Mus musculus: one gene and its partners. The protein of the gene in region 6 purifies or fractionates together with the protein of the main gene of each other region. This does not show direct contact. Links are inferred from orthologs where the notes say so. Each region holds a gene or a part of one and is shown on either strand. Other genes may lie near its edges. The genes, in order: Med19, Polr2m, Uxt, Pfdn2, Polr3e, Rpap2 and Polr2d.

The links.
Region 1: the proteins of Rpap2 (region 6) and Med19 purify together in Homo sapiens (affinity purification with mass spectrometry; 3 studies listed by BioGRID and IntAct, with this or other methods). This does not show direct contact. The link is inferred for Mus musculus from reciprocal best matches to the Homo sapiens genes RPAP2 and MED19.
Region 2: the proteins of Rpap2 (region 6) and Polr2m purify together in Homo sapiens (affinity purification with mass spectrometry; 3 studies listed by BioGRID and IntAct, counting the BioPlex papers as one, with this or other methods). This does not show direct contact. The link is inferred for Mus musculus from reciprocal best matches to the Homo sapiens genes RPAP2 and POLR2M.
Region 3: the proteins of Rpap2 (region 6) and Uxt purify together in Homo sapiens (affinity purification with mass spectrometry; 4 studies listed by BioGRID and IntAct, counting the BioPlex papers as one, with this or other methods). This does not show direct contact. The link is inferred for Mus musculus from reciprocal best matches to the Homo sapiens genes RPAP2 and UXT.
Region 4: the proteins of Rpap2 (region 6) and Pfdn2 purify together in Homo sapiens (co-immunoprecipitation; 3 studies listed by BioGRID and IntAct, with this or other methods). This does not show direct contact. The link is inferred for Mus musculus from reciprocal best matches to the Homo sapiens genes RPAP2 and PFDN2.
Region 5: the proteins of Rpap2 (region 6) and Polr3e purify together in Homo sapiens (affinity purification with mass spectrometry; 3 studies listed by BioGRID, with this or other methods). This does not show direct contact. The link is inferred for Mus musculus from reciprocal best matches to the Homo sapiens genes RPAP2 and POLR3E.
Region 7: the proteins of Rpap2 (region 6) and Polr2d purify together in Homo sapiens (affinity purification with mass spectrometry; 5 studies listed by BioGRID and IntAct, counting the BioPlex papers as one, with this or other methods). This does not show direct contact. The link is inferred for Mus musculus from reciprocal best matches to the Homo sapiens genes RPAP2 and POLR2D.

Annotation. Positions count from the first base shown.
Region 1 is NC_000068.7:84,677,011-84,681,201, reverse strand, and holds the start of Med19 (mediator of RNA polymerase II transcription subunit 19), read right to left. Parts: upstream 2,801-4,191; 5' UTR 2,758-2,800; coding exon 2,541-2,757; exon of another isoform or gene 2,374-2,540; intron 1-2,373. Other genes in the region: Tmx2 (thioredoxin-related transmembrane protein 2 isoform a precursor), read left to right, coding at 3,163-3,351. UniProt on the Homo sapiens protein: Component of the Mediator complex, a coactivator involved in the regulated transcription of nearly all RNA polymerase II-dependent genes.
Region 2 is NC_000075.6:71,483,184-71,487,329, forward strand, and holds the start of Polr2m (DNA-directed RNA polymerase II subunit GRINL1A), read right to left. Parts: upstream 2,801-4,146; 5' UTR 2,614-2,800; coding exon 2,501-2,613; intron 1,776-2,500; exon of another isoform or gene 1,552-1,775; intron 623-1,551; coding exon 1-622.
Region 3 is NC_000086.7:20,959,179-20,963,420, forward strand, and holds the start of Uxt (protein UXT), read right to left. Parts: upstream 2,801-4,242; 5' UTR 2,756-2,800; exon of another isoform or gene 2,672-2,755; intron 2,609-2,671; 5' UTR 2,600-2,608; coding exon 2,502-2,599; exon of another isoform or gene 2,498-2,501; intron 842-2,497; coding exon 760-841; intron 625-759; coding exon 557-624; intron 288-556; coding exon 180-287; intron 1-179. UniProt on the Homo sapiens protein: Involved in gene transcription regulation. Acts in concert with the corepressor URI1 to regulate androgen receptor AR-mediated transcription. Together with URI1, associates with chromatin to the NKX3-1 promoter region.
Region 4 is NC_000067.6:171,344,355-171,348,474, reverse strand, and holds the start of Pfdn2 (prefoldin subunit 2), read right to left. Parts: upstream 2,801-4,120; 5' UTR 2,764-2,800; coding exon 2,689-2,763; intron 1-2,688. Other genes in the region: Nit1 (deaminated glutathione amidase), read left to right, coding at 2,906-2,907, 3,475-3,561, 3,936-4,120. UniProt on the Homo sapiens protein: Binds specifically to cytosolic chaperonin (c-CPN) and transfers target proteins to it. Binds to nascent polypeptide chain and promotes folding in an environment in which there are many competing pathways for nonnative proteins.
Region 5 is NC_000073.6:120,927,778-120,931,277, forward strand, and holds part of Polr3e (DNA-directed RNA polymerase III subunit RPC5), read left to right. Parts: intron 1-110; coding exon 111-226; intron 227-650; coding exon 651-733; intron 734-3,101; coding exon 3,102-3,209; intron 3,210-3,471; coding exon of another isoform or gene 3,472-3,483; coding exon 3,484-3,500. UniProt on the Homo sapiens protein: DNA-dependent RNA polymerase catalyzes the transcription of DNA into RNA using the four ribonucleoside triphosphates as substrates.
Region 6 is NC_000071.6:107,600,696-107,604,195, reverse strand, and holds part of Rpap2 (putative RNA polymerase II subunit B1 CTD phosphatase Rpap2), read right to left. Parts: intron 2,466-3,500; coding exon 2,351-2,465; exon of another isoform or gene 2,340-2,350; coding exon of another isoform or gene 2,337-2,339; intron 2,241-2,336; exon of another isoform or gene 2,215-2,240; intron 903-2,214; exon of another isoform or gene 671-902; coding exon 572-670; intron 376-571; coding exon 310-375; intron 1-309.
Region 7 is NC_000084.6:31,794,667-31,797,209, reverse strand, and holds the end of Polr2d (DNA-directed RNA polymerase II subunit RPB4), read right to left. Parts: intron 1,923-2,543; coding exon 1,827-1,922; intron 1,161-1,826; coding exon 1,082-1,160; 3' UTR 501-1,081; downstream 1-500. UniProt on the Homo sapiens protein: Core component of RNA polymerase II (Pol II), a DNA-dependent RNA polymerase which synthesizes mRNA precursors and many functional non-coding RNAs using the four ribonucleoside triphosphates as substrates.

The DNA of each region.
Region 1 (4,191 bases), on a different chromosome or scaffold from region 6:
ACTAATCTTCCATGCAAAATTTCTAATGTATCCAGATGGATCTTGCGGGACCAGAGGGTCTGCAGCAGATCTAATTATCTTCTGGGTAGAAAACAGCAACAAAACTGTAACACAGCTAGGCAGTGGTGGCACTTTTAATTCCAGCACTTGGGAGGCAGAGGCAGGCCAATTTCTGAGTTTGAGGCCAGCCTGGTCTACAGAGTGAGTTCCAGGACAGCCAGGGTTACACAGAGAAACCCTGTCTCGAAAAACAAAAAACAACAAACAAACAAAAAACTGTAACACTATTTCCTTTGAGAAAACAACTTTCTAATTTTGTTTACCTATATAAATTCTTCAGTGTTTAGTTCAAATGACATCTTATTCTTGCTGTCATTTTGGCTAACACATTTTGAAAACTATCAGGTAGTTTTTAACATTGCTTCCTGTGTTGAACTATAAATAAATAAGACTGACACCCACAAAATATAAGCACAATCCTTAAACCATGTATTTTGGATCTCAAAAAATAGGCTACCTAAAAACTAGGCTTAATAATCTTCACTTCTCGGGGCTGGTGAGATAGCTCAGTGGTTAAGAGTGCCGACTGCTCTTCCGAAGGTCCCGAGTTCAAATCCTAGCAACCACATGGTGGCTCACAACCATCCATAACGAAATCTGATGCCCTCTCTGGAGTGTCTGAAGATAGTTACAGTGTACTTACATATAATAAATAAATAAATCATATATATATGTATATAATCTTTACTTCTCATAATCCCACCATACCTTGGATATTCAGTACTTATCAACTGATCTATTAATGGTATAATTAGAACAGGTAATGCAAAAGATAAACTGCTGGAAGAAGCTGGGCATGATGGTACATACTTGAAGGTAGAGGCAAGTGGATCTCTGTGAGTTCAAGGCCAGCCTAGTCTACAATGAATTTGAGACAAGCCAGGCTTACTGAGTGAGACCATGTCTCAAAAACCCAGTAAGATGGGCTGGAGAGCTGGCTTAGTGGTTAAGTGCATCAACTGCTCTTCCAGAGGTCCTGAGTTCAATTCCCAGAAACCACCTGGTGGCTCACAAGCATCTGTAATGGGATCTGATGCCTCCTTCTGGTGTGTCCATAGAGAGCAATGGTGTAGTCATATACATATCTTTAAAAAAAACAAAAAACAACTAAAATAAGGAAAAAGAAAACTGCCTTAACAGTCATTTCTTTATGCTTCAGTTCTCAATTAAAAAATACAGACAATACCTATCTATCTAAAAGGACTATAGTAAGTATTACATATTGTTACACACTGCACTGATGTGAACTTCAAACTATTTTGCTAATAAATACTGGGATAACTGAGGTTTTTATTTCTTTTTTGAAGCAGGATCTCATGTCTCCTAGGCTGGGCTTGAACTATAGCTCCTTCTGCCTTCACCTCCTGAGTGCTGGTATGGAGTACTACAAGTTCCCCAAGACTTAACATGTCCAGAACGCCTCTTAAGTTTTAGCTCTTCAAATTTTTTCTTTCCATGCCTTCCTAGTCTCAGACTACTGTACCCTTTGTACAGGACACTCACAATTCCTCTCTCTGTGTATATTTAGTTCTTTATTTCTGTAGGCTTTACCTTTAACATGTATCCTGTATTCATTTGCTTCCCGACCACTAAGCCCTGGTCCAAACCATTCCTTTTCTGAACACTGACTGGCAACTTCTGATTATCCTATTTTCATTTTTCATGTTTCTGCTGGATATCTAAAAATCACTAAATTAGATCATTTTGCACCTATATTGAAATGACTTCAATTTGAACTTTAAACAACCTACCTTGCCTTATAAAAGCCTCTACCTATTTCCCATCACTACTGGATTTTTTCCGCTTTCCTGAGTCCAATGTGTCTTCTGCCCCTCAGATATTCTAAGCCCCGCCCCCCAAGGTCTCCTGATTTAGTTTCTTGTACCTAGTATCTCCTCTCTATCCAAACAGGGATGGCTTTGTTTATTCTTGAATGCTACCTACTCAGAAATGATTCTGTGAACGCGACGCCTTTTGCAAGGCAGGCAAGAGTTCTACCACTGAGCCACGCCCCCCACCACCACAATTTCCCCGAATAATTTTATGAAAGTAAGAATTGATTCAATTCTAATCCTTTCTTTGAACAGGTTAATCTCCGAGTCCCTGACAAGGAAGGCAACTTGCTACAAACCAACAAGTTTGTGACAGACTTTAAACTAAAATCTTAAGTGTCTCCAGAAATGTTAAATCGGGTCTCCCGAGTTCTAAACAACGGCTCACGTTTTTATAGAGTCACAAACGGCAGTCAGAGAACCCGGATCACAGAACTTCTCGCTGAAGGTTGTCCCAGATATTCACACCCAACCCAAACCCACCCCAGAAAATCAAGTTATCCCTTAGGGTTGTGAATCGCCAAAGGGCTTCTGACACTGTTGCCCACTGGCCCCGCGTAGCCCTGTTATCTCACACCTAGCGGGACAGGCTAGCCACACCCTCACCTGAACTACAATCTGAGTGGCTACTCTTGGCCTACTACTCACCTGGCAATTCCCGCATCAGGTAGAAGGGGCCACTTCCAGCCGTCGACTTATCCGCTCCTGCGGGGGCCGAGGTTGCCGTCGAGGGCGGGGCTGCGCCTGGACCACCTCCCGGAGGAGGAGGGGGTGGCGGGGGTGGCTTTCCAGGCCCAAAGCCTAGGGCGCTTGGTGGCGGTGGGGGGTCAGTCTGAGCTCCAAACAGTGCCGTGAAGTTCTCCATAGCACTCTGCGCTCCTGGTTACCCGGGATCGGGCGTTAATTACTTTGATTGGACAGTACTTTCACAGGGTACCACCCTCTTCGTCTAAGAGTGTCCCATCATTGGATACATTAAGCCCCGCCTACCATCTTCCGGCAACTTACTTCCGTCGCCTGAGAGACTGGTTAGGAAGGTGGTTCGCAGACTAATAGCCAATAAAATGACTCAGTTAGAAAAGCGACAACGATGAGGACCAATAGACTATTTAATTCATTTTCTGATCTATTATAGCATCCAATAAGAGATCTACATCCGGGTCTGGAGGCGTTGCATCTGATATTTGGTCCAATAGAAGCCTTGCTGGTGGGGGCGGAGGACGAAGATTTGGGGAGCGGGAGTGAGCCTGCGAGAGAGTAGGCAGGAAAGATGGCTGTCCTTGCGCCTCTGATTGCTTTGGTGTACTCGGTGCCGCGGCTTTCTCGATGGCTGGCCCGACCTTATTGCCTTCTGTCTGCTCTGCTTTCCATTGCTTTCCTCCTCGTGAGGAAACTGCCACCGATTTGCAATGGTCTCCCCACGCAACGCGAAGATGGCAACCCGTGTGACTTTGACTGGGTGAGCGCCCCCTGCCTTACCAGCTCTCGACCTTGACCATCCCTGCCCTGCAGGTGCATGTGAAAATCTGGGAGCAGGTTTCGGGATGTAGCCGCCTTACAGACTGAGTGCAGAGCCTAGGCCGTTATCTAGTCATAACCTCCGTGTTTAAGATGGAGAAACAGATTACAGGGTTTCCATCACAGATGAACAGTATTCTACAGTGATTCCAAGCTACCTGGGGCGCCAGTGAAGAAAAGGCCAATAGTAGAAATACCATTAAATTTTTTTTGTTTAATTTTTAACGAAGTGATCACAGTGTAGTTAGGCGATTTCCCAAGGAAACGCAGCGTTCAGAAAGTGCTGTCTAACCTTATTCAATTCTCTGATAGACTGGCAGACGAAGGTCGCTGACTCAACAAAATAAATGACTTGGATGGAAAATCGAATACTCTGGGCATAGTAACTATGCACACTATCTTCCTGCGGTGGGATAGAAAAACAGGGAAGATTACAAAAATATGAGGTGTGGGGAGGGAGGCCCCTCAACCATCTAAGAAGCAGTATGTAAGAACAATTAACATTTGCCGTAAAGGTTGTGGACATAGAGCTAATAAATACCTATACAGGTATTTATGCTAAAATAGCAATGACCAGGACTTAAGGCCTAAAGGTATTGATATAACCTTGGGCAGGCCTCACATGTTCTGGGACTCTCAAATAAGATTAACTTTGTTTACATTAAAGATACAGTACTGTTGCCAGGCTTTGTGTTGTACCCTTTTGATCCCAGCTCTCTGGAGACAGAGGCAGGTGGACTTCTTTAAGATTGATGTAAGCCTGGTCTATATAGGATTTCTA
Region 2 (4,146 bases), on a different chromosome or scaffold from region 6:
ATGAGGAGGGGGCACTGGGTTTCTGGCTCGCATTTCTAGCACTTTCATGTAATGAGGCTTCTTAGGAGTCTCACTCTGCAGTTCTGGAAAGTTCTCAGTGCTGGTGTTTTCTTCTGAGGGTTCACTCTGGTCTGCAATTGTGATTTTTTGCAATTTAGTGATGAAGAGACTGTCGATGCTGCTGGAGATCTCTTCCTCTTGACTTGAAACAGAGTGCTGGGGGAGATGCTCCTTAACTTCGGATGAGGGCGCCCGGGCTCGGATGTGGGCAGCTGGGCTGCTGTTTACTGTGTAGCCAGCCTCCAAAGTCTCTTCATTGCCTCTGTGAGTGAGATGTGTAGGTCCCTGTGTTTCTGAGGTTGATTTAGATGACTTAATGTCTATTGAGGAACAGTCAGGATCTAATGATGAAGTATCAAGCATCAGGTCAGAACTCTGGGCCTTGTCTACATCGGTGTCAGCTCTTGTGGTTGCTTTTTGCCTTAGCTTACAGTCTACACTAACAGGATGAAACAGTTCACTTCTCCCTCTAACCTCTTCACGTTCTGAAATGGCAGCTTTCAGTTTGGCAACTGTGTCTGAGATCTTTTTACCTTTGTCGGGCAATTTGCAAATGAATTTTCTGTGGAGTGGAAAAAAAGAAACCAGCACATACATATTACAGGCATGTTTTTAAACATGGGGAACACAGTATTTAAAAGGCAAAATGGAATCAAAGAAAAGCTGGCTCTTAAAAGTTTAAAAAAAATTTTTTTTGATTTTTAAAAAATCTGGCTTAAGACAATAACCAAACACGTAAAATTATTCTAACCCCTCCCCCAAGGGAGTGCTCTGAATGGGAAATGAAATTCTCTCAGGGTGGAAAGTTTCACACCTGACCACAGGATGATGAGGTGTAGTCAAAACCCAAACTATGAGCAGGGCGTGGTGGCGCACGCCTTTAATCCCAGCACTTGGGAGGCAAAGGCAGGCGGATTTATGAGTTCGAGGCCAGCCTGGTCTACAAAGTGAATTCCAGGACAGCCAGGGCTACACAGAGAAACCCTGTCTTGAACCCCTCAACCCGCCCCCCCAAGCTATAAGGAACATGGTATAAAATTACCTTCAAGCCATGTGTAAGAAACAACTGAAACTTATATTTAAATTTGGGTCTTAACTCTACCCATACATTCCAAGCCTCCTAAAAATATAAAATAATGGTCTTAAGCACTTAGGAAAACATGGTTAGCCTGTACAATAAATATATGATAAGGACCAGTGGGTTTTAAGCCATGGTCTCTGAACCCCGATGAACTGAGGAATGCCAGAGGTTACATAATGGGATAACATCACTATCTTACAAAGGAAGATGGACTTGCTTATGTGGTTCTGTGTTTGAAAGAATTCTCAGTTGCTTCTGGCAAACTGCTAATATTTCTAGACTCAGCATATATAAACAGGAGTTCTTTGAGATGCCAAATAACTCTTAAAGAGTATAAAAATGTTCCAAGACCAGAAGGTTAATTCACTGCTAAAATTAACAACCCAATCTTGAAAAGTCAAAATACCTACCTGTTTCTAGTAGGAACCCCTCCTGCCAAATGGTCATTGGCTCCTTTCCCTCAGTGACAAAAATTCCCTTTCTGGTTCTTTTCCTTGGTTATATAACAAACAGGAGAAGGGGGCTAAACCTTGGGTCCTCTATTTTTCCTGATACATTTATTCCCACGTTTTCAACAGTATTAATGCCTCTCTGCAACTGAGTTCCTCTCGGTTTTTTTCAGCCTTCTCTCTCTTGTGCCTAATACTCATTCCTCTGGGTTTTAATCGGTTGGCTTTTAATTAACTAAATGCCTGCAATTACTCCCTCAACTGAATACGCCCAAAATAAAAAATTAACCTAAAATCCATCCCTCTCTCCCAATTTTCCCATTATTCTTTGTTGCTCCCCAGAAACTTCAACCACCTGTTAACTATTAATATATATTTGTCTCCAAATTATTACACCAGTTCCCCCAATCCCTCGATTGCCTTCATGGTCCATTTTTCCCTCCTTGCTGAAAAAAAAACCTCTCAGAAAATATCCTTTTGGCGTCTTCCTTCAATCCTGTTCCTAAACAAAGCTGCCTTTAGGCAATCAGCTATCATCTTCTCCCCACTACGCATGAACCAAACTTTCCAGCCCGCTCTCCAAATCTATGGTTGGGGAAAGAGTGGGGCTTCAGATAGAGAGAAGGAAATCCCACACGTTCCGATCAAGAGGCTTTGGTACCGGAGCTCGTTCAAAGCTGTAGTGCGAACATGAAATCGAGCAGGCGCGGCTGCCGAGTGAGGGCCGGGCAGCATGGAGCCATGCCCGCGCACAGGACAGGCCTGGCTCGGGAGGCCTGGCCACGCAAGGTCACCTTCGCGCGCCAGGCCGCGGGGCGGGGCGGGAGACCAAGTCCCCGGATCCCGATCCCTGAGAGCCTGTTCCCTGATCCCGATCCCCCGCAACCGCGACCCCAGGGCCACCGCTTACTCGTTGCGCAAAAGTCTCTCCTGGCGCCTCAACCTCTCCCGCAGCTCCGCCGAACTCTGCCGCCCCAAGTCCTCGGGAGCTGGGGGCTCGAAGCCGCGGGGCAGCGAGAACATTGCGCACGGGCTGCGGCTGGCGCGGCGGGCAGGGATCCCCGGCGGGGCCCACGGCGGGCGCTGGCTCCGCGGCCGGCGGCGACTCTGGAGCGCGAGCGGGAGTCGCCATTTTCCCGGAAGAGCACGGCTTCTCCGAGCCGAAGGGAGCTTTATTGAAATGCCGGAAACGGACAGGCCAGGACGAGGGGACGCCCGAGGAAGCGTGCAGGGGCGGAAGTTACATCACCGCCAAGGCGTCTGGGTTTGGCGGGCTTTCTCTGGATGGGCCTTTTGCTTTCCCGGCTTTTCGCCTGTGCACTGGGAAATATAGGACACTCAAGTCAAAGACTTACAAACTCACTTCTAATAAGTAAAATATGACGAAAGTAATAGAGCGTCGCATCTACGATTAAGCAATCAAAGTTTTGGACAAAAAATTTACAGGGATTCCTGAATGGACATTAATCACAGTTAAAATAAATAACGGGGTTATAATGATGGCTCAGTGGCTAAGAGGGCATACTGCTTTTGCAGTATGCCAGAGTTTGGGTACCAGTGCCCCTGTTGGGTAGCTTACAAATGCCTTTAGACTGCAGCTCCAGGGCACTTCACAAACTCTGGCTTCTCCAGACACCTGCGCACAAACACACACACATTAACATAATTTAGTCTTCAAAAAATAACAAGTGACCAATATAGCTAGCTATAATAAAATGCATATTAGAAACAATATAGTCAGGTATGGTCGTGCATGCCTTTAAGTCTGGCTGACTGAGTTCAAGGCCAGCCTGATCTACATAGTGAATTCGAGGTTGCAAAGTGACTCTGTCTCAAACAAAACAAGATTTGAATATTTGAGCAAGTCAGAATATCAGGAATTAGAAAGGTCGACCATGTCAACTGTTGGAAATAATGAAGAGCGACTGAGATTCCTACAGACTGCTAATGGGGGAGCAGAGGATGCAAAATAGTACAGCGTCTTTGGCAAGTAGTTGGACAGTTTCTGATTCGGGCTTTGCTGCCCTGCCCCTTTTTTATTGCTAGGCAGTATTGCATTGTGAGTTGTGTGTTTATGCTGAAGGATATTTGAGTTGTTTTCAGTTCTTAATGATCACAGATCAAGTCACTGTCAACATTTTTAATAGATGTTCATGTCAACATAAACTCTCATTTCTCTTAAGAGTGGGCTTATTAAGCCATATTAACAAAGGGAATAGAAAGGAAGAACGGCTCCACTCTTGACTTCCACGGCCTGAGAAATTCCTCTAATCTTTTAGGGATTTCAAACCAGGGTTTGTAACTTTGATGCTGAAAATATTCAGGACTAGGAGAATAGGAGTCTAATAAAAAATATTTTCATACAGGCCTAAGTATGAGTGTTCAGAGATATAAAAGTGCTCAAATGGAACATATACCCAGAGATGGGCATGGGCTTCTCAGGGAGAGTCACATTTCATTGTTTTTATAACACTTATACCTGATGGACTTCGAAACAATTATCTTTGAAGCATTGCTAAGAGATCTAAGAGACCACAGCATGTAGTTAGTTCTGGA
Region 3 (4,242 bases), on a different chromosome or scaffold from region 6:
GGGATTACAGGTGTGAACTACCATATCTGGCTTTTATATATTTTGTGTATGTGTTTGTGTGATGTGTGATATGGATAGAACCTAGGGCTTCACACATGCTAAGCAAATGTTCTTACCACTTCCCTGTACCCTTAGCCAATGTAGTGGCTTTAGATACTATCCTCTTGGAATGCACTCACTCTGTGAGGAGAGAACTCTTTCGGTCAATGAACTTGAGTGCTTCAGCCAGTGTCAGTTCCAGGAAAAAACCATATCCCAGGGCCACATAGATGCGTGAAGTATCTGGGCTGAGGAAAGAGGTCAGAGGAAGTGGAAGAAGTCTTTATTACTATTTAGCACACTGTATGGTTTAAGGTGTTTCCTATTCCTTCCTGTTTCTCAAAATGAAGGCTCTGTAAAGGCAGATACTTTGTGTTCATTTTGGCCACACCCACAACATGTTGCTCATATCCTAATGAAATATAAAAGCTACTAGAGCCTTGTATATAGAAAATACTAAGAAATACTTGTTCCATGAAAAAAGGGAGAAACTCAGGAGGGGAGAGAATATACTCACACCACTGTGTCAACGAAGAAGTTACAGCCCAAATCCACCTGCATATATAACTCCGAGTGATTAGTTTCCTATAGGGCCAGGAGAAAAGAGGTAGGTGTCAGCGGGCAATTTTAAAGGCAGATAAGGTTTTGTTCTTGGGGTTTCTTCCCGCCTCCCTTCTTTGTACACATACACAAAGTGGTACCCAATTTAAAAACCTTTACCTGGAGTCGCTCAATGACATTTCTTAGTTGAAGATATACGGACAGCTGCTCATATACCTTGTCTCGATGATCCAGCACCTTTCTGATATGTAGAAATACAACAGTGAACATTAGGCAGCCTTATTCCTCTTGAGATGCCAGGCATTTTAAGTCAGGTTGTGGTTGACATGGATGTAATTCATGGGCTGAGGCAGGAGGATTCTGAGCTCAAGACCAGCTTGTGCTACATCGTGAGATCCCGTGCTCCCCTCCTCCAAAACACACACAATGGGGTATAGACAGAGACACAGCAGGCATTTCAATAAATACAGGTCAGACTGTAGTTCAGCCTGACCTCTACCTCTTACTAGGAATGTGACTATGGAAAGTAGAAAACCTACCTAGGATTAAGTTTCTTCACATAGAAAACAGAGATGGCCGTAGTAGCACATAAGAGTCATTAGAATCGAGTGTTTACTACAAAGTGTTTTAAATGCTAGCCAAATGGTAAGCATTATATACTTGTTACCTATTATAATTATAAATATTACATTTTATTCAGTGACTTATGCCAATTAAAATGTCCCATCTTCACCCTAAATGTACCTCTCCATCTCTTTTAGCATGCTCACACAGTCCTAGTTCTAAATACCTAACTTTCTATTCAGATTAGTAATGACAGCAATAGCAATCATCCAGTTGTTGAGTCTTTAGTGTATTTCAGGCACTGGGGTCAAATTCCTTTCCTAAAACAACTATTTAGGTTATTTGTTTTATTACCCAAGACAATATCTGAGTTTCTCAGGCTAAGTATTGAATTTGTAAACACACCAAACAATTCTTTCCTCTCAGCCTCAATATAATAATAGTGGGGTTTATCTGCATTTTTAAAATGTGTTCTTACTTGCATTTATGTGTTTATTTTGTGTACATGTATGGGTGCCATGATACATACCTGGAGGTCAGAGGTCAGGTTTTTGGGAGTCTTTCTTTCTTCCACCATGTGGGTCCCAGAGATCTAACTTAGGGCATGGGGTTGGAGGCAAGCCATCTTGCTGGCCCTAGTTTGCTTGTTTTGAGACATAATCTCAAAGCCCAGGCTATACACAACCTCGAATGTAGGTGAAGATCACCTTCAACTCTGGGTCATCCTGCTCCTGACACTATCCCAAGTACAGCAATTGCAGGCCTGTGTCACCACACTGGATTTTTTTTAAAATAGAATATTGTTCTATTTTCAAGGCTGGCTTGTAATCCTGGCTAAACAAGTGAATTTTCCCATCTCTCCACTAGAAGTGGCACACACCATGGAGCTTGAGCCTGGCTTTATTCTATTTTTTTCTCCCTTTGAGAAAGTTAGTCTGTAGCCCAGACTGGTTCTCAGCTTTACAAAGATCCTCCTGCTTCTGGCTCCCAAGTGCCGGAGTTGACACATTTAAAACTCAAACACCACGTTAAGAAGGCCTAATAAACTTTTCCATTTCACAGATGAATAAAGTTCACAAAGGTGAAGTAAGGTACAACTTGTTCATAAATATTGGTTAAATGGCCTAGTCAGAAACACCCTGTGTTCGGAATGACTATTTTAAACCAACAAACAAGGTCAGAGCTCTGCTAAAGGGACAAGTTCCAACCACATCTCAGCCCAGAAGTCAACCCTATTCCCAGAAGTCTGGGCGGCCAATCCGAAAGTTTGGTCGGCATTCTGTCCCACCCACCACGTGAAATTTCTCAAACGTCACGCCTCCCACGTTGTCACTCACTGCAAGTCTCGCTGCAGTACGTCACTGATAAAGGTCTCGTACCGCAGCACTTTCTCCCCCACCGTATCCAAGGCCCGCCGTTTCGGGGGCGTCGCCATGACGGGCACCTGGGGGAGTAAAGGGGGGGGCACGTTGAGCGCTCTATTTAAACTTCACAAAATTCTCTCCAGCCACTCAACGTTGGGGATGACTTCTTTCGGCTCGAGCTACGGAGTTGCTTCTGCCCAACCCGATTTTGGAACTCGTTCACTCACCGGTACAGGAGTACGGCGTTTACCGTAGGGCCACCGGCAATAACTGTTAGTATGAGCCGCGGCTTCCGGGTGGCGCGGATGGATGATGTAATTTCCAGCAAGGGAGCCAACCAAATCGATGGGAGGGGCGGTCCGGCGTGTGGGAAGATGCACTTAGGGGAAGGGCTGCAGGCGGGGCCTGAGTGAATCCTTGGAGGTAGCAGGATCCTATGGATCTAGATGGGCCTGGCACGCCGCGGTCTGCCAGCAGGCGGATCGTCGCGAGCTGGCGGGAGACTGGTTTGGGTGACGTTCAATGAGATTTGGCGGGTTCTGAGGGAGGGTGGACTTACAGGAAGGTAGGGAGAGGGAGTTAAGTGTTTATAATTAGTAATTTGAAGTGTGTGTGTGTGTGCGCGCGCGCGTTGGTACTGAACTTATAGGCAGTTGTGAGCTACCATGATGTGGGTGCTGATAATGGAGTTTACATTCTCTGCAAGTTTTATGTGTTTTTAACTGATGAGCCATTTCTGTATTCCCCCCTCCTTACTCTTACATTTGTTTTCCTATTTTATGTGTTTTGTCTGCATGTTTATGGACTACATGCGTGCATTGCCCACAAAGGCCAGAAGAAGTTGTGGGATTCCCTGGAACTGGAGCAACCAACAGTTTGTGTGCACCATGTGGGTAATGGGAATCGAACCTGGGTCCTCTATAAGACTGGCCAGTGCTCTTAACTACTGAGGTATCTATATAGTCCCTATTTTTTTCTTTTAGAAACATTTCTATTCTTTGAGAGTTTCATAGATGTATGCAATATATTTTCATCATCTCCACTCCCTTTTCCCTCCAACTCCTCCTAGACTCCTCCTACCACATTTTCCTCCAATTTCATATTCTCTTTAAAACAAACAAACCAAATCAAAACCAAAAGAACTCACTGAGACCACTTAAGCATTTAATAATTTTAAAAGCACAAGAGTGCCTATAGACCAGCAAGGATTATGGTACTAATCTATAAGGAAGGCAGTATATCCTGTGGGGATCTGTTTGAAAAAAATATATGTTGCACACATTGTTTGGTTTTCACCCTCCATAAAGGGAATGAATAAGAGCACATAAAAATGTTTAAATGGAGACAAATTTTAAGAAATTTATCTTGAATGAATTTCTGCTTGGTGGCATGCAGTCCATGATGAGGGCTACAGAGAAACCTTGTCCCCCAAACCAAAACCAAAATTTGATGTTACATGTATTTAAAAGTAAATTTGATGTGCTTAAAGCAGATATTAGGAAGCTATATAATATTAGTTAATCTTTATTTGCTAAGGAGAACAGTTTAGATAGACTAGAGTTGGGTCTGTTAAGTTTATTAACATATTTCATGTAATTTTTCTTTAATTTAAAAGATACTTTTAGGTTATCCAAATGGCTCACTGGTTAAACGGTGCTAACCAGTCTGACAGCCTGAGTTCACTCTGCACGGCGGCTTGTAGGTTACTGCTGTT
Region 4 (4,120 bases), on a different chromosome or scaffold from region 6:
AAATAAAACAAGCACCTAGTACGAAGTATTACCTGCTCCTATTTTCCTTGTGAGAGACACACTAGGCTAACACACACATCAGTAATAAACCTTAAATTGGGCTGGGAAGAAAATTTCACAGGTAAAGAGCCAAAGAACCAGGGTTTGAGCCCCAGAACACACTTTTTAAGAAGGAAGAGGAGGAGGAGGAGGAGAAAAAAGAAGAGGAGGAGGAAGAGGAGGAGGAGGAGGAGGAGGAGGAGGGAAAAAAAAGGCAGGCAGGCAGGCAGGCATGGTACTGAGGCATGAACTGCCTGGCACTGGAATGCTAGTGAACTTAAATTCTGAGGCTTGTTTTCCCAGTGCTGAGGAAAGGGAGGATCAATGGACTCTCTGGTCAGCCATCCTAGCCTACCTGGTGAGTTCTAGGCCACGTGAAAAACCCTGTGTCAAAGAACAAAGTTGACTGTATCTCTTTAGGTCTTGCAATATATCTCTTTAAATTCTCCAGCATTTTCAATGCCAAGCAGTTCATGGCTCAATGCTTTTGAACACACTACTTCTAACGAAAAAAAATCTTCACATGACTAACTTTTCCCAGCCTTTAGAATTAAGCCAAAAAATCTAGAAAATAAAAGGAAATTAGCATTTAGAAAGACTGTTCAGATTATGTGCGTGCAAGTGTGTCTGTCTGTGCGAGATCAGGTGCTCGAGTGCAGAGGCCATCTCTCCAGCTCTAAGTAGCATTTGTTAAACACACTATGTAGTCTCTGTATTTAGTCATGGTGGAAAAAAACAAAACAAAACAAAACCCAAATGGATTTTCTTGCCTAGTACTCTAGTTACGAAATGGAAAACTACTGTGCTTTTACAGATAGACGAGGGTAAAAGGTAACAAGAGAAATCATATATAAATAAGAAATACAAAGCAAGCACAGGTCATTCTGATTCTAGGCCAGGAAACCCTCCCAACCATTCCACTACCCGCCATTCCCTTGCCTACTTACCTGCCACATCCGAAATCTACACTACTTTGGACTCTCTCTCCAAACTGTGCAAGAAAAGTTCATTATGTGCAGAAGTTTGTAGTGTAGGGTTGGAGAAATGGCTCGGTGGAAGAACGATTACTTTTATAGCGGAGGACCTGGGTTTGGTTCTCAGCACCCTCATGGTAGCTAATAGGCAGTTATCAGAGGTTTTGACCACTCTTCTGGTCTCTGAGGGCTCCTGCACACATGTGGTATATGCACATACACATGCAAACACACATAAAGTCTCATTGTTTTGTTTTTGAGACTGTGTTTTACTCTGTAACCCAGGCTAGCCTGGAACTGACAGGGTAATCCAGGGGGATTATGGGTATGGGCCACCACACTTGGCTGTGACCAAGTTTAAGACAAGGTCTATTTCATTTACCTGTTCCTCTGGGTTAAGCAAAGCCAAACACAAGACGGACTCTCCAAAGCATTAGCATTTTTTCCTTCCCACTATGTCAGAGGCTACACCCTCTTCCATCTCCAGAATTCCCCTGCACTTCAGTTCTCCCTGAACACTTACTTTCTAACTCTTTGACAGTGTGGGTTTTAGACTCTTTATGCTGATGCTTTTACCTGTAGGAATTGTTCAACAACCAACTGACAAATGTACCTATGATTAAAATTACTCTTCTGGGGCTGGTGAGATGGCTCAGCTGTTAAGAGCACCGACTGCTCTTCCAAAGTTCAAATCCCAGCAACCACATGGTGGCTCACAACCATCCGTAATGAGATCGGACTCCATCTTCTGGAGTGTCTGAAGACAGCTACAGTGTACTCACACATGAAAGAAAGAAAGAAAGAAAGAAAGAAAGAAAGAAAGAAAGAAAGAAAGAAAGAGAGAGAGAGAGAGAGAGAGAGAGAGAGAGAGAGAGAGAGAGAGAGAGAGAAAGAGAGAAAGAGAGAAAGAGAAAGAGAGAGGGGGTGGGGGGTGGGTTCTGCCCTCTTCCGAAGTCAATCTTTGCAAAGAGAGCACACCGAGCAAGCTCGAGGCCAGCGTAGGCCACTTAGTAAGACCGTGTCTCAAAGACGAAATAATCCGAGCCTTTAATCGCAGTATGTGGGAGGCAGAGGCAAGCGGATCTTCCAGGCCAGTTTGGTCTACAAAGTGAATTCCGGAAAAGCCAAGGCCGGACCCGACCCTATAGCAACCCTCATCCCCACCTCCAAGACAAAACAAACAAACAAACAAACCACAGACTCCTTAGTCAAAATAATTTACGGAACACTAAACTGCTCAGAGTCTGAGTCACGTGGCTCTGCAGCGTGTTGGTGATGGTGAACACGGTTTTTGAGCCATGAACTACATAAGCCACTCACTGACTAAGAACAGCTTGGAATTCGTTACTAGATGCCACGCCAAACACCATACGCTCTTTAGGGTACCTCGGAGAGGGGGCAAACTACGATCCATCTTCTCAGAGACCTGGCCAACCCTCCCAGACCCTGCAGCTCAGGGCTTTCTCCCTTGACTACCCACCCACACCGCGGGCGTGCCTCTCCCCTACCTACCCAGGCTCTAGAAAGGTTCGTGATCACCTCCAGAGACCCCCTCTCCCCCGTGCGTGCCCATGGAGACCGTGGAAAGGACTAAAGGCCCCTTCGAGCCACAAATCTTATCTTCTACACGAATTCGACACCGCCCCGGGTGCCTTGTGCGCTCGCGGCTCCTCACCTGTTCCGCCGACACCGCCCCCTTCCCCGCGCCGCTCCCGCCGCTCTTGCCCACACGACCGCTGCTGTCCGCCATCTTCCCCACCTGCAAGCTTTCCGGCCTGCGCACTCTCACTGCGTCACATCCGGCCGGGGGGTTACCGCCCACTTGCTCCTGCGCTCCTGGCTCCTGGCAGCTCTTGAGATCCGACCCCGTGAATGGTTTTGGCTGTGTCTTCATGTAGGACCTACTCCCAAACCCTGCCCGCTGCGGTGAATTCCACCTGCGATGCTTTAACTTGTGCAACAGAGATTCTTGCCCGGGGGGGAGAGGCGGGGAAGGACGCGCTAATCAGAGGGCGGGGGCTCGGGTTGGGATCTGGTCCTGTACCCATCTACCCACCATGAGATGGTGGAGATCTAGGGAGGGTGAACTTTCCTTCTGAGATTCGGGTATAAGGGGAAAGATACGTGTTGAGTCTATAAAGCTGTGCAGGTGGCACAGCCGAGAAGAGAATTGGGGAAACGAGGAAGGTTCCATGAGATGACTTGAACTGCGGAAACGTTTGGCAAAGGAAAAAGGGCTTCAGTTTTAATGTGAGATCACTGGAAGTTGAGGTATTAAGGCACCGATCATAGTCGCCTCTCCCATTTTCCCATTTTATATCTTTTCCTAGCTACTAGTAGTAAAAAGTATTTTCGAAGCCTTGGGGGAGGGGATTACTGGCCAGGCCTGGAAATGGCAGAGAATTCTAGAAACTTACGGCTTGAAAGAGGGTTAGGTGTCCTGATTTCTCACCTTCTTCAGGCTGGGCTTCATCACCAGGCCTCCTCACCAACTCCTGTGTACCGGATACCGATTACTTCGAACCCCAGTACTTTGTACTCAGCCCAGGTAACATATTTCGTAATGTTCTCTCTCTGGCGCATAGCTGCTTAGTTCGTGTTTATTAACTTCATAGTGGGAGACAAAGATATCTCCAAACATGTAATGAGTGAACTCCAGTAGCTCTAGGGTTATTATGCTCTGTAAGAATGAAAACAAGTTGCTGGGGTCACCTGTAATGCCAGCACTCGAAAAAAAGGAGGATCAACCAGGAGTTTAAGGTCATCCCCAGTTACATAGAAAGGCCTGTCTGGGCTACAAAAGACCGTGTCTCAAAAAAGAAAAAAGTCAAAAGAAAATAAAGTTTCTGGCTCCACCCCCACTTGAGCCTCTGAGTTTCTCCTAGATAGAAAATCTGAGGATACTGCCTGTGTCATTCACAGGCCCAGAACCATGTCCTCATCAACTTCCTGGGAGCTGCCCCTGGTGGCTGTGTGCCAGGTAACATCAACACCAAACAAGCAAGAGAACTTTAAAACATGTGCTGAGTTGGTTCAAGAGGCTGCCAGACTGGGTGCTTGCCTGGCCTTTCTGCCTGAGGCATTTGACTTTATTGCACGAAACCCTG
Region 5 (3,500 bases), on a different chromosome or scaffold from region 6:
TTGGGAAGGACACTGGTCACTCTTGCGTCTAGGTAGGGACCTGGCTGGGAGTGTCCCTGGGGAGCTGTGCCATGGCACTTTCCAAGTTGGGTGGTGCTTTGTACCTTCAGGTAGAGCTTGAGATGGCCATCGACACCCTGAATCCCAACTACTGCCGCAGCAAAGGGGAGCAGATCGCACTGAACGTGGACGGTGCCTGTGCTGACGAGACTAGCACATATTCCTCGTGAGTTCCTGCCCCCAGGGTCCCTCCCACTGAAGGTAAAGGTTAAAGAGGAGTCTCTAGTGGCCTCAGGCATTGGGTCCTTTCTGCCCTTTCCCTGGGATCCCAATCATGTCAGGTCTCTACCGTTAACCAAGAGTGTTGTTGGCCTTCCCTCCTACGTTGGCTTATCCCAGCGGGTGCCCATCATTATCCCTTGATCCCTCAGAGCTCTGGGTTTTCTCATCCCTTAGTCCTAGCTAGTATACATTGGATTGACAAGGCTCTGAGAATAGAGGAAGCGTTCCAAAGTTGTATCACAAGTGCTCACTTTTAATCCCAGCACTCGGGAGGCAGAGGCAGGTGGATCTCTGTTGGGATGGAATAGGGTTGGCCGGCTTCTGTAGAGCATCATAGCCCTTGACACTAATTCTCCTTGTGTTCCCAGAAAGCTGATGGACAAGCAGACCTTCTGCTCCTCCCAGACCACCAGCAACACAGCTCGTTATGCCGCTGCACTCTACAGGCAAGGTACCTGGGAGAGCTGGCTATACCCTGGGAGAGCACGGGGAAGACTGGGCCTGAGGACCTCATCTAGTCTTATGTGTGCTGTTGGCTGCTACTGAACACTAAACTGTGCAGGATCAGGGCAGTGTGGAAATGAAAAACTATGGAGTCAAAGCACTGCGAAGAGGACTTTGCTGGGCACTTCCAACTTGGTAGAGTTGGAGCTTCAAGTCAGTTTGCTCCTGGGAACACATATGCAACATAGCATAGTATTGGACAGGCTGCAGAATTTTGTCCTTTTAAGTACATGCTACTTAGAACCAAGCAATCCTATTCATACATGGGCAGCATGCACTGAGGACAAATAGAAATATGTGTATATAAAACCTTGGACACAGATGTTCATAGGACCTTATTCATGAGAGCCAATGAATGGAAACGGCCCCAAACCTATCACGTGATGCCTGCGTAAACAAAATGTGCCATATCCACAGGACATCTATAAGGATAACAGACTTATCTGCTCATGTGAAAGAGCGAATCCCTGATGAATGTATGCATCCATGTGGATGGTAGAAATCATGCTCAAAACACTGCATATAGCCAGGCATGGTGGTACACACTTTTAATCTCAGCATGCCCTTAATCCCAGTGCTTGTGAGGCAGATGCAGGTGGATCTCTTGAGTTCTGGACCATCCTGGTCTAAATAGTATATAGGACAGCCAGGGATATAGAGAGAGACTTGTCTCAAAACAGACACCACTAACAACAAAAAAATGATAGCGAACTACGTGCTTTAATTTTCTTTCCTATTCCTGTGACAAAACACCTTGACAAAAGCAGATGAGGGAAAAAGAGGTTCACAGTTGCAGTTTACAGACCTTCCTGAGAGGCTGAACCAGCAGGAAGTAATTACACAGTCAAGATGAGAGCAATGAATACATGTATGCATGTAGTACTCGGCTTGCTCTCTACACTCTTGTTCAGGACCCTCTGCCCATTGTAACAGTTCCACCCACAGAGAGTGTGCTGTCTCGTTAATCACCATAATGCGCCACAGACGTGCCCCAGGCTAACAGTCTAGCCACTCTGACTGAGACTCCAGGTGTTGTCAGGTTGACAGAGCTAACCATTCTACTATATCCCCAAGGGCAGAAGAAGGTGATCATGGGAAGTACAGGTTCTTTTTGAGGTGTTGAAGATGTGCCAAAGCTGAGAGTGGCAGAGTTGCCACAATTTTGAGACTATATTAGTGTATATCAAGCTGTGTGCTTCAGCTGGGGGTGTCTAGTGTGTCAGAGCACACTCCGCACATCTGTTGGCTGCTCAAGGTACTACATTCAGCACTTGGGCTTTGCAAAGCAACGAATGACAGGCTCTGAGAAGAGAGGAGACATTCCGAAGTGTATCACTAGTGCTCACCTTTAACCCCAGCACTCGGGGGCAGAGGCAGGGCGTCTGGTATATTACACGGTACGTCCAGGACTTCTAAGGCCATGTAGGGAGATCCTGTCTCAAGAATCCTGTTGTCGTCCATAGCTACTGTCTTGTTCTGAACTACAGCTCAATGCTGCAACACTACCCACCCTCCTGCCCCCCGCCCCCTTTTTTTTCTTTTTCTTTTTTTTTTTGAGATAGGGGTTTCTCTGTAGTCCTGGCTGTCTTGGAATTCACTCTGTAGACTAGAGTGGCCTCAAACTCAGAGATCCACCTGCCTCTGCCTCCCAAGTACTGGGACTAAAAGTGTGTGCCACCACTGCCTGCTCATCTGTTGTTAGATTTATTATGTCTGACTGCTTTGTCTGCACGTGTGTATGTACATTGCTTGCGTGCCTGGTGCCTGCAGAGTCCAGAATTGGAGTTAGGAGTGCTTGTGAGGGGCCGTATTTGTGCTAGGAATCAGATGTGGGTCCTCTTGAAGAGCAGTAAGTGCTCTTAACTGCTGATCCATCTCTCCAGCCCAGGAAGCTATAATCCTTGCAGCCAGAGACATATTAGTTAAAGGCTATGCTGTCCTCTAATGGACTCTGGTAGGGTCTGGCAACAGCACTATAGCAGAGCCCAGAGGGAAGAGTGGGTGAGTTGTGCATTGTGGATAGAGGGAGCAGTAGGCATGAGGTTGGAGACATGACATGGCAGAGAGTGTAGAGAGGCAAATCTCAGGAAGTAGCCTTGAGCAGAATCAGGCTCCTGCTCTGGGCGTGCTTAGTGTGTCTAGTTGGAAACAGCTCCTGACCTGGTCTCCTGAAGAGGCTAAATTGGAATTGGAGTTGGCTTGGTGTTGTAACAGTGAGTGTAGGCCTTCTGGGGGACTTGGTGTTTCCTTTGAGCAAGTTGGGTATGTCGGCTTTGGGTTGTAGCGGCATGTTCAAACCCTTCTTCTTTTGCCAGGTGAGCTCCACCTGACACCTTTACATGGCATCCTACAGCTTCGGCCCAGCTTCTCCTACCTTGATAAGGCAGATGCCAAGCACCGAGAGAGGGAGGCAGCCAATGAGGGTGAGCCTGCTGACAGCCTGTGGTCTGAATGAGCTCACGTGAGCACTTGACAGAGATCAGGTGGTGGGATTCTTACTGACATGCCAGGCCCTTGCCTACTAAATACCACATCTGGGACAACCAAAAAATGTCCCCACAGATGGCCAGACATCACCTGAGGATTAAACTGCTCCAGTTGAGAGCAGGGCCCCTTGCTTGGCGCTCTTGAGGGAGGGTTATGTTGGGGCAGAATGAGCAGTCCCAGTAGAGACTGTACTGACAGCTTGCTTTGCAGCAGGGGATTCTTCTCAG
Region 6 (3,500 bases):
TTATACTAGCATGTATTCATGTTTTCAAATGTTCAAATCATTTTTGAGCTAGAGAGGTAGCCCAGAGAAGCCTCAAACTTGCTGCAGGGCCGAGAATAAATCTAACCCTTGACTCTCCGGTCTCTGCCACACCCAGCTTCAAGTCTTATTAAAGCTCAAGCAAGAAATTTTCTTAGTACCTTAGCTTTTAACAGAAACAACCTGTAAATATAGCTATTTTCTAACAGACAAATTTTAAAGTAAAAAAATTAAAGTTTTGTACAATTTCATTTAAAAATTAACTGCCACTTTCAATAGCTCTGAACTTACCTTCCTTTCAGTAATATCATAGACTTTATTGGTTTTAGTAGAAATTCGATATTTCTGTTTCGGGATCTAAAGAAAAATAAAGTACAATTTACAAAAGAATTTAGTTAAGGAACACAAACTTTATGTTATATACAATTAAGTCATTTACAATTAATACTTTTGGTCAATCCAAGTTATTATTAGTTCATGACCACAGGCTTAACTTACTACTCTGTGATGTTTTGTAAGAATTAATAAATATACTTTAAAGGAAAGTACTTACAACCCCTAGCTTCTTCTGACACAAAGGATAGCCACAGAGTTTGATGATGGACCGCTCATCCACAACGTCGCTGTAGTGAGCTGGTGTGATGAACATGCCCTGGGGAGAAACAAGAGGGCATTTCCCAACAGACTGTGAGAGCTCTGGGAGCACAGGAAGGAACTGACATCAAGAAGGGTCTGACATACATACGGTAACATTGTTACTTTAAACACTTTGAAAAGATGGCTGAGCTGACATATGGTAACTACCATGGGTGGAGCCATCCCTGTGCTGTGGTCTTGGTTCTACAAGAAAGCAGGCTGAGCAAGCCAATAAGCAGCACTCCTCCATGACCTCTGTATAGGCTTCTGCCTCTTGGTTCCTGCCCTGCTTGAGTTTCTGTCCTGACTCATTTGGTGATGAGCAGCAATATGAAAGTGCAGGCAGAATAAGCCTTTTCCTATTTGGTCATGTCCAATGTCTGGGATCCACTCACAGTCTTCTGTACTCCTCCAAAGGGCTTGGGTCATTTCTCCAGCTCTGCACTCTGTAGCACATACTGCTTGCCTTCAGGCTGGCTCCACTCCACTGCTGTTGCTGTCCCATGGTAGTCTTCCCACAGTACTGGCATCTCTGAAACACTGGGGTCTTCTACTGCAACTGAGATGCACTTTCACCAATAGTCCCTCATGGCTCTCTTCCTCAACTTCTTTGCATGATCCTTTCAGTCTTGGGTTGCACCTTCACCGATGGCTTTTCCTGGCGTCGCACAGTGCCAAACCTCAGCTGTTCTTCATGATCCCTTCATGTCTTCAAAAGCAGTACCACCTGGGTGACTCTGGCTGCCAGTACAAGGTACAACCATGGTCACCTATGGAACACAGCTTCCCTGTGCTCTCAGGAAACACTTCCCAGAAGATTTTTATCTCAATAATGTTGGTCTCTTCTTGATCACTGCTAATTTCTCAGCTCCAGCTGACCAGCATCAAGTATCCCAGCAAAGCAAAGGCTTCAATTTAGTAGTTCTGAGCTCTTGTTAAATCACAGCTGGTTCTTTAGCCCCACCTAACCGGAACCACAGAATCTTAATCCAAAATAGCAAACGGCCAGAGTCTTAAAACTTCACAAGCCAGGCCTCACTGTCTGCACTGTTTTCAACATTCTTATCTTCCAAGCTCCCAAAGATCATCCACTGAGCTCTCAGCTCTCAATGGCTTTTTCTTGCCCAAAGTTCCAAAGTCCTTCCACAATCCTCCCCAAACCATGTCTGCCATAGCAAATACACCACTATGGCATCAGCTTGTCTATTTTTGTTAGTCAGGGTTATCAGTTCTGTGATGAAACACCATGGCCAAAAAGCAAACTGGGAAGAAAATGGTTTATTCTGCTTGTACTTCCACATTGTTGATCATCACCAAAGGAAGTCATGACAGGAAGTCAAGCAGGGCTGGAACTTGGAGGCAGGAGCTGATGCAGAGGCCATGGAGGAGTGCTGCTTACTGGCTTGCTTCCCCTGGCTTGCTTCCCCTGGCTTGCTCAGCCTGCTTTTTTTGTAGAACCCAGGACTAGAGCCCAGGGATGGAGCCACCCACTGTGGGCTAGGTCCTCTGCATGGAGGCGTGTCCTCAGCTGAGGCTTTTTCCTTTTCTTCTTTGACTTACCTGTTCTGTTTCCTCTGGTCCTTTGTCTGTCAAGTCAACAAACAAAATCAGCAAGTACAATACTCATATACACAAATAAATCTTTAAATATAGATATTCTATTTTAAATCTGGTAGTCTGACCATTGAACACGTACACACTCCTTCAGGAATTCTTCTGTGATGTTCTCCTCTAAGAGCTGCTCTACGATGCGCACAGCTTTCCTTTCAAACTCCACCTTCCTTTGTATAGCAGCTTCCAGTTCTGCTTGCCTGAAATTTTAATGAGAAAGTTAACCCAATTCAAGACTTCTCCTACCTTCAACACTCCGTGCTTTAAAAGCCACCTAGTGGCCTACTATTTTGCCAATAAATGAGCTTTTAACTCTCCACCTCTGATCCAATACTTTTTGGTCTTCCCAGTGTGTACATGGAAGCTGGCCACGAGGACTTACTTCTAGGCTCAGAGAACAAGGAAACACTTATAGACTCCAGTAGAGGAGGGCTGGGCAGGACATGGTGGTACATGCCACAGTTACACACTTGGGAGGAGGCAGTGGGAAGATTCAGAGTCTAAGGCAAGTGTGAACTACATAAAATGAAGTTATATTTTTAAAAAAGAGTATATATATAAATTTTATAACAAAATTTATATATATAAATTTTCCTTTTGTAGTTTTGCCATACATAGTAAAAAAAATTTTTTTTCTCTGTCACATAAGTAAACAGAATGAAGGGTGAAGAGATGATTTCTACTTTTCTTTCACTCAAAAAATTGTCAACAGCCTAGTTGTGGTAGCTCAGCTTACTAGAACAGTTATGTCTGAAAAGAAGAGCAGCATTTTCTCACCTTCATTATAAAGTCCTACTAAATAACTATCCTGATATGTGAAATGCAGTCGAGGAACCCTTGCCATAGCCACCACGGGTCCCATCAGTGCTCTGTCCCCCCCTCTCCCCCAACACACACACACACACGGAAGGCAAAAATCGAAGCTATCTCAGGAAACAGCCTCACTGAGCTGCACACCAAGAACAGACACCATGTCCAGGTCCCACAACAGGCCCAGTCAACCAGAATAGGACAGAAGCACAGAAGGGAGATTCACTGTCACGCTCAGGATACAGTGCTGTGGTGACTTACTCGCTCTTCTTCTAGGTTGGGACCTACCAGAACTACCTCTGTTGGTCACCAGGTCTTACCCTTCTCTCTCACATCTGGAACCTAGAAACTTTCATGTGTTCACGTGAAGGTAGGAACCTTCATTAACTTTTGAGACTTTAGACTCTCGTTCTTTGCCTAGAGCA
Region 7 (2,543 bases), on a different chromosome or scaffold from region 6:
GCAAAGTTCTTTTAGTCAACTGTCTCTCACTCTTTAAACATTGCAGGGTGGCTGGGGACTGGCTCAGTGAATAAGGGTATGTGCTATGCATGAAGACCTGAGTCTGTCCATTAGCACTACCGTTAGTGAAAAGACTGCTGTGTTCCCACTGTACATGCCTTGAACCCCAAGGTACAAGCAAAAAGAGAAAGTGAAGACAGGATTGTTGGGGCTTTTGGTCATCCAGCCTAGATATAGGTTCAGTGAGACAGAGCCCATTTCAAAGGACAGAAATATGGGTATACACCCAATGTCCTCTGCTAGTCTCCTTACATAGATGCACACACTTGCACATACATATGTACAACACACAAACAAACAAAAGCAACTTCTGGGCTAGAGTGTTGCTCAATGGTACAGCACTTTTCTAGTATGTACAAGACTTTGGACAGAACTGACTCCTGCCCCCCACACATGTGCCATGGATCATGTACCCTCTCCCCATTAACAAATAAATACAATTCTTTTAAAAAAAAACAGTGTTCTGGTTTATTTCTCCCCTTTACAACCAAGTGAAAACACTCCTCTCCTATGCAAGTTTTTTATATATCATTTTAGCTTCAAAAACTACAAAATAATTGACATTAAAATCTGAAGTGTCAAGAACAAAAAAATAGTAACATGGGGTCCAAAAAAACCACGGTACGAAGTAGTCAACGAATGTTTGAACATCATTCTACCTCAGCAGTTCAGGATGGCAGCCTGCCTGACCACAGCAGCCTTAAAAGGCTGCAAGGAGCGCAGATGGTAGTTATGGTCTAACAGTCACTGTGAAGATAGCACCTACAGCATCAATAGCCAGCCTTTCTTTCCTCTCCAGAAGCCAAGCTGAAAGTGTTGGCTCACACCTGTAATCCCAGCACCTGCGAGGCTGAGGCAGGAGGACTGTTATGACTTTGAGAACTGGAGAGACACTCTCTCGCAGTGAAGCAAAAACTACGAAAGAAGCTCCAGCGTCTTCTGAAGCAATGTTCCTGCATGAGGCCTCCCCAGGCTTCAGACCGTGGTGCTGTAACTCAAGGAGCAGAGTGACGTCTGCGGATCAGTACTGGAAGCTGCGCTTCGTCTGGATGTCATCGAGAATCTGCTGCAGCTCCTCATCTTCAAAACGCCCTTCCAGGCTGTAAGAAAACCAAGAAATGTAAGTGACTTGGCCGCTGGAGGTTTCCCCAGTCTGTCAAAGGAGGCTCATCTCCGAGCAGCTCGCTTAGCTCTACTGCCTCGAAGTTTAAACTGAATGGTTTTTGACATTCCTTTATATAAGCACTAAAAAGTTGTAAATAGAAAAAAGATTTTTAAAAGCTTCAACAGTCACACATGATGTAAATTTAATTTTGTTTTGTTTTGTTTTTTTCGAGACAGGGTTTCTCTGTGTAGCCTGGCTGGCTGTCCTGGAACTCACTCTGTAGACCAGGCTGGCCTCAAACTCAGAAATCCGCCTGCCTCTGCCTCCCGAGTGCTGGGATTAAAGGCGTGCGCCACCACTGCCCAGCAACTCAAACTATTCTTAAGCCAGCATGACCATTTACACCTGTAATCCCAGCCCTTGACAGGTGAAAGCAAGACAATCAAGATGTTCAAGGAAAGCCTTGGTTACCTGAGACTACCACCAACAAACCACAAAACCAATCCCCAAATCCTATCTCAAACACCATTCAACTACATTCCTATTCAATGCTGCCATGTCATTAACCCAAATATTAAATGCATACAACTTTTAGTTCTAGCAATTTGACTTATAGAAATCTATAGAAAATAGACAGAAATCTATCCCATCCGGTACTAACCTTGGAATCAGAGCTTTGGACTCTTCAGCAGTCTCCGGGCAAAGATTGGCTAAACAGGCCAACTCAAACTTATGTAACTTTTTCTGGAGAAGCAAGCTGATTGTAGCGGAAAATAAAAACACAGAAAGACTGTGATGAAGTGAGCAGTAATGGGGGGAAATAAGTATGATCAAAATATATACTTGAATAAAAATGTCACAGTGGGACCCATTACTATGTGTAGTTATATGCTAATAAAAAACAAAAATTAGGCCGGGCGTGGTATTGCACGCCTTTAATCCCAGCACTTGGGAGGCAGAGGCAGGTGGATTTCTCAGTTTGAGGCCAGCCTGGTCTACAAAGTGAGTTCCAGGACGGCCAGGGCTACGCAGAGAAACCCTGTCTCAAAAAACAAAAAAAATTATGTTCTCATTCAGTGTCGGTCAAATGCTAATCATTCATCAATAGCAAAAAGGAGATTGTAATATTTGATTATGGTTATGTGGGCATCAGAATCCTCCTTTGAAGTCACTTCCTGTTCCTACCCCAGAAAATCAACAAGTTCCAGAAAAAAACAAAAAACAAAACAAAAACAAAAACAAAAAAACAAATGAAAAACAGCAGGCAGAGCCAAGAACCCTGAAAAGAGCCCAGCAGGGTAAGGCGGCATATACACGCTGCATTGGAGAGGGAACTCGGGAGTTAAGTGATGCTCTTTTTAGAGGTCACAGGTTGAGT